Oryzias latipes: one gene and its partners. The protein of the gene in region 2 binds, or shares a complex with, the protein of the main gene of each other region. Links are inferred from orthologs where the notes say so. Each region holds a gene or a part of one and is shown on either strand. Other genes may lie near its edges.

Region 1 (4,341 bases), on a different chromosome or scaffold from region 2:
AAAGCGAGTGTGTATTTGGTACAGGAGAAACATTTAACTTAGGTTTGACAGCCTGGAAACATGTGCATGGTCTTTGTCCTTCAAAAAAAAAATGAGTGCCTCACAACTCTGGGGATCGAAACATTTACAAAATAAAAGCATCAGAACTCCAATTTTAAAATAAATATTAAAAAAAAAAAAAGGAAAATAAAAGGTACTTGCTGAAATTTTTAATTTCATCCTGTGCCATTTCCTGTGGATCTTTAAAAAAAAGAAAAAAGAAAAAGTGGCCTCAACACAAAAAAGGGAAGAAAAGAAAAACACGTTCATTAGGCAGATGAGCTACATTTGTACCATTCCTTGCTGTTGAGTTAGGAAGATGACGGCATAAAGGCACACTGTTGAGAAACTAAAACCATGATTTTCTTTCTTTTTTTTTAAATGTAGCATTTATGGACTGGGTCAACACCACAGTGCCTTTCAAAAATATTAATAATAATAATAAAATGCAAACAGAACAGCATTTTGGAAACATGTTTCAAACCGAACACTTCAAGTCAAATCAAAATTCACACCTCTTTTACACAAAGGATTAAAAAAAAAAAAAAATCAATGTTTTTATGTGCTACATAGAAAACATATATATTTATTTATTAAATTATTTACACACAGGTAGTTAAAAAAAGAAAAAAATCAAACCTAATTGCACGCTGCTACATGGACTGCTGTTAGAGGCAGTAACATTTCAATGAGTGCCACAAACTTTAGTGTTTCTCTTCAGTGCTTCAACAGCGTCCTCCCCCGTCCTCAGGAGAGCTGATATGTTTCTGATGCTGTGTAGATCCTCGTCCAAAAAAAGGAAAGAATAATTAAAAAAAAAAAAAAAAGATCAACGCAGTCTTAAAAACAAAAAAACAAAAAAAAACACATGCACGCATACGCAAACACACTCGTACAGAGAAAAAAAAACTGGGAGGGGCACATCTTGAGCTCTGTTGGAGATCAGAACAAAAGACAAAAACAAAGAGGTTGAAAGGTTAGTACTTTTTTTTCTTTTAGGAGATGCAACTACTACTGCTAAAGTATTGACAGTGTTCTGAGGTATGACTGAAAAAAAAGAAGAAACTAGTCATTTCCAAAAACAAAACAAAACTATCAACTCAAATAAAGCTCGGCTGCATACCATTTACAAAAACGTGCAATTTTTTCAGTTCTGTTAACTTTTATTTTTACTAAGAAGAGACGAAAATGAACATGGGATTTTTTTTTACTTAAAGATAAATCGAAGTCAAAGTTCCGCTAATTTAACCTTGACTTTTTTTGCCACAACCTTTAAAGGTTCACACCTGACAGCTTAGAGCAGGTTTCTGTGCTCCTTCTCTCTTGTGGGTCATAGTAGACCTGCAGAACTCTCGTACTCTCCTCTGCAGCAGGGAGTGTACATGTCTGCGTGTGTTTCTGCGCGCGCGCGCTCAGAGACCTGCCCCTTCCCGTCCGCGCGGAGGCCACTGGCTGCTGACGTGTTACTACTACACTGTTGTTCAGCTTGTTGTTTACAGTTCAGCAGACGAACATCGGCCGCAAGGAGGAAAAAACTTTTTTTTTTAAAAATTCTTTATTGGCGTGTCATATAAATCCTCTTGGTTTAATAAACAGACTTCACTTTTTTGCGCTAGAATGCGTCAATACAAATAAAAAAAAAAATGATGTAAAATTTAATATCTTTTTTTTTTTTTAAATTCGAGGTTAACAGTTTTTTTTAAATTGAAGTGGTTCGCTCACCGTGTCGCCGTGCTCACGTTGGTCTCTTGGGGCTGGTCTTTCTGGGTGTGTGTTCTGCAGACTGGCTCAGGCTCGGACAGCTAACCTCCTCCGGGCTGGTGTGAGACTTCTTACTTGGGGCCGAAGGGTCTGCAAAAATAAATAAATGAGTAAAATAAACTATATATTACAGAGAGAAAAAAATGGTCGGGGTGCTCAATGTTCTCTGGGATTTTACGGCAGTTTCCCCCGCTTTACGACCCCCTCATCCCGCATACCAGTACCGCGAGCACAAAGCTGCCGCCCGGCGATCTGTTACACAGCAACGGGTCGTTTGATGCTAATGTCATACCGTGACACGCAGGTCTCTTCCTCAGCCCGCCGCACTGCTCCGTGCACTCCATCTGAGCGTCAGAGCGGCTGGGAACTGTCCCGACACAGTCATGATTCCCGTTTAGATCCACATTGTTATTCCCGGGGCAAACGCCTCGTTCTCGCCGCGGCAGGCGGGTGTAGAAACTCGGCAGGTCTCTGGCGTTCACCAGCTCCCACTCCAGCCTGCTGTTGGGCAGCGGTGTGTCAGTCGCGAAGTCGAAGCCCCACTTGGCGGAGGCAGCCTCTTCAAACTCCCGCAAATGTACATTTAAATCCCTCTTTAACTCTTCGTGGTCCACCGAGCCGAAGAGGCTCCTGCAGGCTGACGGCTTCGGGTGTTCCGACACCCGGGGCTCCGTCCTCTCCAAAGTCGGGCTCCCGCTCGAAAGTCGAACGTTAGACATGGTTAAGCCCCCCGGAAAAAAGGTAAAAATTTCAAGCAGCCGGGAGCGTCCAGTTTTCAGGCGAAAAACACACCTCAAGAAGAAAAAAGAAAAGAAAAAAAAGGTATGTCCTCCTAGTCACGGGGAAAGATCCAAAACAGGCGTGAAACGACCATGCGCACGTCGAGCTGGAGGCAAACACGGCTGCGATTTCCTGAGCCGAAGACGGCTTACGCCAATCATCCAAACGACGGGAGAACGAACCAAAGCTCGCTGTCAACGTCGCTCCGTACAGCGGGAAGCGGAGGCGAACCTCTCGGTACCCAATATGGCGATTGAGACATGTAGTGGGGATTGAGAGGGGAGGTTGACTTTGGAGGGAGGGGGAGGAGGGTTACACATGATTGACATACGGAGCCATTTAAAACCCAAGAAGCGCACTCATTGGATGGAGCTCTTTAGACCCGCCCACTTTATTTAAGGTAGACCGAATAATTGCATAAGGCATGCTGTTCTAAACATATTACTTACCTTTTTTATTTTTTTTACAAAGTAAATAAGTTCACACATTTGATGTAACTTAATGTACAAGTTTCAAAAAGTAAAATGGATTAAACATTTTAAGACATCTAAATTTGAAGAAAAAAATTGGATTGCAACCATACAAATAGTGCCAATATGTTCTAAAACACACATATTCAGTATTTATTTTAAACATTTTGGATGTACAGTAAAATTAATAAATACAATTAAAATGGAGTAAAATCCAAAACAAAACTGAAATTGTTGCATCATATTCTTTCAATGGACACTAATAAATGAACCTGTGGTCCTAAATGGAGATAAAGTCCAGTAAGAGGACCCCAAACTGAGCTGATTTAGTAAAAGCCTAATAAACATTTTAATTCTAAAAAATTTTCTTACCGTAACAAAATCTGTACATATATCGGAATTATTGACTGAAAATATTTATATATGAAGTAATAACATATAAAGATGAAAATAAATTTCTGCTATCCTAAAGTCAACTGTTTTTTTCCAGATTTATCATAAAGCTTCTTAGTTTTTACTTTTTATTCACATGCAAAAAAAAATAAACACCCCTAAATGAGAATAGAGGGCAGCTTGATGCTTAAATTGAAAGTGGCGCAGTCGTCTTTAAATAGAACCAAAAGCCTTTTGACAGAAATGATGCAATCTAATTTAGCTGTGAGCAATTATTTACTCAAAGGGTCAGAGCAGGATAGGAGGTGCAGCAGTGTTCACTCAACCACTGTCAAGCCAACAGCGCCCCCTAGAGCTTCATCTAACACACAACTCTGGAAGCACAAATCTTTTAATACCTTTAAATACTAAAGTTGTCTGTACGATTACATTTTTAACAAAGGCCACATGGACTTACAGAGTCACCATTATGAGTCCGCTACAGTCTGCTTTAGTCGCCTACCTTGCCTGTAAGTCCTTTACGGCGTACAGGCACTGCGGTGGGCGGTGCAGCCTCAAAGACCGAGCCACTTGATGATGTAGTAGTTCCTCTTGCCCACTCTGAGCAGAGTGAGTCCGTTGGACAGGACGTGGAGTTTGGGGACGAGAACCTGCTCCGGTTTGTCCGCCCGTGTGTGGTTGATCCACACGGCTCCGTCTGAAACCATCTGGTACCTGCAAGCGAACACGACGGCTCAGTCAGGATCCAAATCCCATTCATTTCAAGTGTTTTCAACCAAACCCAAAGCAGCAGGATAGAAATCTTTGTGTATTTCAACATTTAGTGGATTTGATTCCTCCGACAACATCTAGGGGAAAAAAAGGTTTGGTGGAAATGTGTGAACACAAATCTTTGCAC
Region 2 (4,377 bases):
TGTTGTATTTTTCCTGCCTCCAGTGAAGAGCATCCCCTCTTTGGTTCTGCAGCTGTGTAGCACACTGTAAATGGACACACATGGGACATTTATGCCCTTGAGGGTCACTATGATTCCTCCAGAGACAGGGGACAGATCAAACTTGATGGCACTTCTTTTACCAGATCTTACAAAAGTGGCTTAAAGACAGACAACACTGGGTAATATAATAACTACTCCTTTCTGTATATTTTTATTTTTATGACATTATTTTTTTTAATGACATTTTTACTAATTTGAAAAATCAAAATTGAGGAAACTCTTATTTGTGAGTTTAAATATTTTACGATGTAAGTTAGTGAACTTTTAATAAGTTCTGGCTTGAGGTCTAATCTCTTATCTTTTAAACATGCAAAACTGGCATTTTATAGTATTGAATTTACCACATAATGTTGCATTAAATTTATTTTGAACAGAGTTAAATGTTTTATACCTTGAGGGTGTATTTTATTTGTTTGTTTGTTTTTAAAATAGGACAAAATTTTGACCAATTTTGTCTCATTTTGCAATGAATAAATTTAAAGTAAGCTTTTATGGTAACATTAATGAACAACTAAAAACTATGCTGGTATCAACTCTCAAGAAAATATTTAAACTGATGTGCATATATTTTTAAAAATCATGTTTTTACAACACATTTAGCTTTTTATTTAACCCGTTATTTACAAATAAATCATTAATGTTAACATACTAATCTTTACAATACATTCATGAAAAAGAAGGCAGCATACCGTAGGATCAAAATAATTAGAAAACCACATTGTGGACGTCATTAAAATGTTGACATTCACTTAATTTGAAAATCCAAATCACTGAATTAAATAATTTTTTAGAGATTGAGATTTTTAATTTCAACTATTTGTATAAAAGGTTTTTTTTTAACAATGTAAATATTTTCTTTCAACATATTTAATTACATTCATTTTCTAATTCTTTTTTAACATTGATCTATTCAGTTCTCTAAACAAAACCACAGTTTTAACTGTGGTGTAAACAACCACAATGATAGTTTGCAGTTGTGTAAGTCAATGGAGTGAAAAAAAATAAAACACTTCCAGTGAAGATACTCTAGTTTATTGACTTAATTTCTGGTTGAAGAATAGAAAAGTTAGGTATCTTATAAAAAACCCAATCAACCATGATTTGATTATTGAATTACCTAATTACATTGCCTTAAAATGAAATATATGTATTAAAAACCTCTATAATAAGATATAGGCTTTCCAAGTTTATAACATTTTTGTCCATTTCTTTTTTATTTAGTGTAAACAGTAAATCACTGTTTTCTCCCTCTTATGTGAAGCAAGTGGGGTCGTTTTCCCCCCTTTTTTAAATAAAACGGCTTAACAAAAAATAGGTCGCACGAATTTGTGGCTTTTGATAACAAAAAGCTTTTTTTGTTTTTTTCTTCAAATGGTTTGTGGTAAAAACTTAAGCTCCGCCCCCTGAGAAGCTAAAGCAACAGGAAGATAACCGAAAACGAGCGCAGGCTGGAAGGAAAGCGGCGGAGGCCGAAATCTTTTCCACATCAAAGTCGCTGTTCGGCCGTAAACTTCAGCCTGGACTCGACCTGCCACCTCTGACCCGTTCTGCTCCAGATAAACGTGGCAGATCAACGAGCATGCTCGAACTAAAGTGAGCTCTCTTGCCCTTAAAGAAAAAAAACGGCCGAGGTAAGCTTTTTTTATGTGTGACCTGTCGAATACACAAACCTGCGGAGGAGTATGGTTTTGCCGCGTTACGCTTTTATGTTGAACAGATGTGAAAAGTTAAAAGGCGGTGATGTGTCTCCTCCGCCGCTGACTATAGTCCCCCGCTTTTTCTTCCGCCACGTTCAGACCAATGATCAGACACGTGTGTGTGCGTGTGTGAGCTAGAAAAGTGCATGTGGACTGTTTCTGCTGCATTTTCTTGCTCTAAATTAACAAAGGACTGCCACAGAGGAGCACCACGTGTCTGCCCCGGCCTACTGATTTCACATGAACATCCGCCCACTGCTTTGGAGTCACCGGCCTGCTTCTCGCTTGATAAGGCGGGGAATGAATGAGACATGGAGGGCGAACGTCCGGCTTTGCCTATCTGATAATCGATACATTTTTCTGTGATCACGAGCTGCTGTCATGCGCAAACTGGTTCAAGAAGATCCCCTCAAACAACGGCTGTTGGGAGTTTCACCTAGTTTATACTCTGGACTCACTGTGTCTCTCCCAAAACACAGAAATGATTGTTTTAGTTAAAAATTTATAGATTTGTGAATTTTATTTCTTTTCTATTTATTGTATGTTGTTTGATTTATAAAAATAAGTTTTTACATAATTCCATGTACTCTAATCTGGAATAGTATATATATTCATTTCCAAAAAAATTACCAAAAAGCATTTTCCCATCATTTAGGATAAACCAAGTTAAAGAAAAATGCTCCACTGTGTTGGTGCTTTATGCAAAAGTCTCTCAAAAATGTGCTTTTAATGTGTATAAATTGATCTTTTTGCGGCTCTTTTGTCCTCTGGTTTCTATGCTGTAAACAAACAGCAGAGGCAGAAAAACTTGCTGCAGGAAAACGAAACACTAAACGCACAGGAGAAGCTCAGGAAAGTTTTGACACAAAGTGACACAAATGTCACATGTCACTCTGGGGAAGGGATCAATCCAGCCAGGCATCATTGTCAAACCATTCCTTATGTGCAGAGAGAGATTCCTGATTTAAAAACACTAAAGAGCCACTCCAATCATCATTTGATCTATTTTAAAAGCGTTCCCAGTGATCTTTTAATGTTGTGTAATTTTCTAGGACATAGTTTCTGCAGAGCAGATGGAGTTACGGTAATCAAAATTTTTCCTCTGAGTTGTGTTGAGCAAGCCTGCCCTGACTTCCCATCATCCCTTTGTCTGCATTCTGTCTTGCTAGCTTACAGTCCCTCACAACCGCAAGCAGCACAAATAAATGGTGATCATTATTGGAGTTACCCGGCCATATAGCTTTGAGCCAGATACTAGCTCAGACGAGGAAAACGAAGATGGATCTAGTCATCTGCGAGTGGATGTATCTGCATGGACAGAAACAGGGAGCTTGAGGCCCGCCGATTGTATTTTGTATACAAGTAAAAACTTTTTCTAACAGCAGTTTTTGGTCTGCTCCTGATTCACTATGATTTGAAAAAAGAAGAAGTAGTAAAGCAGTTTTAATTTCAATTTTCCTAATATATGTCCTCCAACATGAGAAGAAAATGCTACCAAAACATGTCAAACAACCAGAAACGCTGTTTTCTTTTGGAGTGGTTCTTTTAAAGACTTTTTCCCTCAGTAAATCCCTCAAAAGTGCTGCTCTGGAGTTTGAGGTGTCTGTATAAATGTGAGATGACCCCAGTCTCGTCTCCCAGTCTGAGCATGGCGCAGTGCACCGGTCTGCAGTACGAGCCGGTGGCAGAGATCGGTGGTGGCGCATACGGGACCGTCTACAAGGCTCGCGACATCGAGAGTGGCAAGTTCGTCGCCCTGAAGAACGTGCGCGTCCAGACTGACCAAAATGGCCTCCCGGTGTCCACGGTCAGAGAGGTGGCGCTGTTGAAGCGCCTAGAGCAGTTTGACCACCCCAATGTGGTCAGGTAGGAGAGTTATCACAGGTTTTGTCTCAAATGTTGCCCCCCCTCCACCTCATCAGTGCTTGCTACTTTCATCCAGGCTTATGGATGTGTGTGCCACCAAGAGATCCGACCAGGAAACCAAAGTCACTCTGGTGTTTGAGCATGTGGACCAAGACCTGAAAACGTATCTAGAGAGAGCTCCAGCTCCAGGGTTGTCACCAGAGCGCGTGAAAGTGAGTCCCTGAAGAAAAGAATAAAAACTGATGGCAGCTACTGTTTGGAACTGATTCTCTTTCTTTTTTTGTGTGAAATATTTCTCTGTCTTCAGGACTTGATGAAGCAGTTGCTGTCTGGCCTCTCCTTCCTCCACTCAAACCGCGTGATGCACAGAGACCTGAAACCCGAGAACATTCTGGTGACCAGCCAGGGCCAGGTCAAACTAGCAGACTTTGGCTTAGCGAGGATATACAGCTGCCACATGGCCCTCACTCCTGTGGTAAGATCTGCTGTGTGCTCACGTCTTGATCATCAGCAGCGGTTTGGTTAATGTTGTTTTTTTGAACAATCGCTTTGGAGATGATTATTTCATTTGTTTTTGCTGTCTGTTTTGGCTTCTTTTCTTGGAATAAATCATTTTCAGTTACGACACAACCCTGACCGTTTAACACCAGAATGGTGTCGCTGGCAACACCTAAATAACTTGCGTTTTTTACATACCATAACTATTTGATAACTCACACAATAAACAATCGGC
Region 3 (2,881 bases), about 25 Mb from region 2:
CAGTGAGCTGAACCTTTTTTTTCAATGTTTACATGAAATCCTCTCCACCTTTATCTACATTTCTCATGGTAGGGATAACACGTCAATGTAAGGGTGGGGTCATTTTGACCCAACAACATAGCACAAGGGGTTAATGCTCCAAAGAGATAAATTGCTACACACTGAACATTCATAATCCAGAGCCATTCACACGTCAGGACAGAGCAGCAGATGAATTTGACGAATAAGAGACAGGACATGAAGGGAAATGCAGGTTTGTGGTTCGTGATGGAAGCAGAGCGTCTCTAGACTTGGAGACGTTGAATCTCTTTTTCCCAATAGTTCATATAAAACTCTTCACTTCAGCATAAAAAAAGGGGGGACATTGTGATTTTAACACATGCTGTACATCTTCCTCCTCTCCTGTGGGTGGGAGCCGAGATGTGGAATGTACAGCGGCGAAAATGTCTGTCATCACTTTGGCAACCGCTTGATCCAAATGAGGATAAATCCACTGATTCCGTGGATTACCGTTAATCTTCTCTGCTCAAATGTCCCCTTCTTAGCCCAGGGAAAGGCACCGATCCCCCCCCACATACAGTAGCCTAATTAACTGAGCAGTGAAATGTAGCTGAACCCCTCCCGAGTTCACAGGTACGGACTCCTGCGGAGGGCGTGGCTTCTGAGTGGGGCGTGGCGTGTGCGCTCCTCCGTCACTCGCCCGATTTCCGCGGCATCCAGACCATTCGTCGTTTAGCTTGGTAGAAATCTGCAGGGATGAAAGCGACACTGAGCTCAGGGGGAATCGGTGCAACGACACAGACGCAGCTGAACGTTCCACTCCCATCATATTTTGAGAAAAGCCTTCCCTGTCGTCTTTTGATTACGATTATGCCTTTTTTAGCCAAAATGAAATAATCTTGTCGTCACCTCTGAGATGTGGGCGGGGCATTAGCTCAGAGTAACCCCGCCCCTACCTCCCATTATCCATCTATTTGTACCCTCTCTAGCTGGCTTACAGCCCCTCACATTACTCTTCTAGCTCAGACGAGGGACTAAAAAAGTTTTTTGGACCTATTTGTCTGTAAATGAATGCAGATACTCTCTTTTTCTAACATTTTTTATCTGCTTTGAACAATTAAATACTAAGCTTTTCTTTATAAATGTCCTCCATCGTCAATAAAGCGTCATAAGAACACGATTCAAAACAAATGAAAGCACCTGTGATGTTTGTCTGTTTCCTCTTCATCCCGGCCTTCTCCTCCTTCTCTGGTGTTTTCTCCACGTTGAAGATGTTCTCTGTCAGTGGGATGTTCTCCTTCTCCCTCTGCGGCAGCTCAGATCTTCGTCTCTTGGGGGGGGTCCTGGTCTCCGCCGTCTTCTGGACCCGTCCAGCATCCTGACAGCGGTACAGCAGCGGCACTCCGGCCCCCGGGACGCTCTCCCACAGGAAGTGGCTGCCCTCCAGGGGCTTGTCGGAGCGGAAGTCGAAGCCCCAGCGAAGGGACGCTTCGTCCAGGTCTTTCCGCAGGGCGGCCTGGTACTCCAGCTGAAGCTGCTCCCGGTCCACCGGGCCAAACAGGTTTCGCCTCGCGGGCCTCCTGGGAGCGGCGGGAATCCGCTTTGGAGCAGCCATGGTTCTGCACTGTTTGAACACAGAACACTCCTGGTTAGATCTCAGATGTCATATGATGATGAGATGGATCATGTAAAGCAGTAAAAGAGTCAAAGAAAAACCCAAAGTGTAAAAAGTTCCGAGCTCACCATGACTGTTCACTCTACAGACCATCAGAGAAAAGCAGAGCTGTGCCTCTCCTCTCCTCCCTCCCTCTTAGGAGAGGCTGAATCATCGGTACATGCCTGGACATAATCTGACAGGCCGACAACACAGAGCCGCCACTAGGGGGCAGAGTGGCAATGACAGATCCACCACCAGAGGTGTCCTTCCACCTCAGTCTGCATGACAGACCGCATCACCCTGAACAGGACATTTTCCTTTTTAGGAAAAAAGGAAGTCCATCCCAGGCCAGGCTGGTTATCCAGGAGGACAAAATAGTCCACAGTAAAGCTTGTTGTTTTTTTTTTAAAGAGAGCAGAAAATGAGGATAGACAGCAAACAAACCCCCAGCAGCTTGTTAGATATGATTTTATTATAATACATAAATTAAAAATGGTTGTTCCTGTTTTTTTTTTGTTTTAAAAAACACTTTAGAAAACAATTTATACCAAAAATATGAATATTTTCCTTTATCTGGTTTAAAACTATTTCCAGTTCTTTAGTGATAATGTTTAAATTAATATTTAGGTTTCTCCACATTATAATCCCGCTGTTCTTAAAGCTCAGACTGATGGATATTGACATTAAATATCTTATTTTTGAATGTTTTGATTCTTCCATTGAGGCTGGAACGGTGATCTAGCAGAGTAACCCAGACTTTTCATGACGTCATAGACCGACATAAAGCTTCTGTTGTCTCTTCGGGGCGGGGTCACTGGGGGCGCGGCCGACTCCCATCGGGGCGGGCGTTCAGGCCATGGCGGGAGAGTATGAATCCGGGTTTGGACCAGCCCCGTTCGGTTACTACGAGGCTCCACGTGAACCTGGAGCACGTGTCCCCCATTCAAACGGGGCTGTCACCGCCGTACTCACGCGGAGGACGCGCGCGCGCATCAAAACACCCTAGATAGGACTTCTGGAAAACTTTTTTTTGATTTAATAAGTTACCAGGAAACTTTTTTAATTCATATAACCAGAATGTTGGATCAACGACGCTGAAGTTAGCATCCGATTCACAGCTTCCGATTCGCGAGTGCACTAAAGGAGCATTCCACTGTTTTTTTTGCACTAAGATCTCCTTAGATGGGGTCCGGTTCAAAAACTGCTGGACCTAGACTGCTCAAA

Evidence for each region.
Region 1: the proteins of cdk4 (region 2) and cdkn1b are in contact, whole or in part, in a crystal structure (PDB 6P8F), measured with the Homo sapiens proteins. The link is inferred for Oryzias latipes from reciprocal best matches to the Homo sapiens genes CDK4 and CDKN1B. Residues at the interface, in NP_000066.1 of Homo sapiens: Gly18, Thr19, Val20, Tyr21, Lys22, Ala23, Arg24, Asp25, Pro26, His27, Ser28, His30, Val32, Leu34, Ser36, Met75, Asp76, Cys78, Ala79, Thr80, Ser81, Lys88, Thr90, Val92; in NP_004055.1 of Homo sapiens: Glu53, Ser56, Lys59, Trp60, Phe62, Phe64, Gln65, His67, Lys68, Pro69, Lys73, Tyr74, Glu75, Trp76, Gln77, Glu78, Val79.
Region 3: the proteins of cdk4 (region 2) and cyclin-dependent kinase inhibitor 1-like are in contact, whole or in part, in a crystal structure (PDB 6P8H), measured with the Homo sapiens proteins. The link is inferred for Oryzias latipes from reciprocal best matches to the Homo sapiens genes CDK4 and CDKN1A. Residues at the interface, in NP_000066.1 of Homo sapiens: Gly18, Thr19, Val20, Tyr21, Lys22, Ala23, Asp25, Val32, Leu34, Ser36, Met75, Asp76, Cys78, Ala79, Thr80, Lys88, Thr90, Val92; in NP_000380.1 of Homo sapiens: Met38, Cys41, Ile42, Ala45, Arg48, Trp49, Phe51, Phe53, Val54, Glu56, Asp62, Phe63, Ala64, Trp65, Glu66, Arg67.

Annotation. Positions count from the first base shown.
Region 1 is NC_019864.2:11,436,116-11,440,456, reverse strand, and holds the start of cdkn1b (cyclin-dependent kinase inhibitor 1B), read right to left. Parts: upstream 2,841-4,341; 5' UTR 2,520-2,840; coding exon 2,093-2,519; intron 1,891-2,092; coding exon 1,775-1,890; 3' UTR 1,762-1,774; intron 972-1,761; 3' UTR 1-971. Other genes in the region: yars2 (tyrosine--tRNA ligase, mitochondrial), read right to left, coding at 3,998-4,157. UniProt on the Homo sapiens protein: Important regulator of cell cycle progression. Inhibits the kinase activity of CDK2 bound to cyclin A, but has little inhibitory activity on CDK2 bound to SPDYA. Involved in G1 arrest. Potent inhibitor of cyclin E- and cyclin A-CDK2 complexes.
Region 2 is NC_019863.2:27,221,986-27,226,362, forward strand, and holds the start of cdk4 (cyclin-dependent kinase 4), read left to right. Parts: upstream 1-1,487; 5' UTR 1,488-1,712; intron 1,713-3,419; 5' UTR 3,420-3,426; coding exon 3,427-3,644; intron 3,645-3,720; coding exon 3,721-3,856; intron 3,857-3,951; coding exon 3,952-4,119; intron 4,120-4,377.
Region 3 is NC_019863.2:2,308,631-2,311,511, forward strand, and holds cyclin-dependent kinase inhibitor 1-like, read right to left. Parts: upstream 1,629-2,881; 5' UTR 1,625-1,628; coding exon of another isoform or gene 1,616-1,624; coding exon 1,201-1,615; intron 749-1,200; coding exon 693-748; 3' UTR 648-692; downstream 1-647. UniProt on the Homo sapiens protein: Plays an important role in controlling cell cycle progression and DNA damage-induced G2 arrest. Involved in p53/TP53 mediated inhibition of cellular proliferation in response to DNA damage.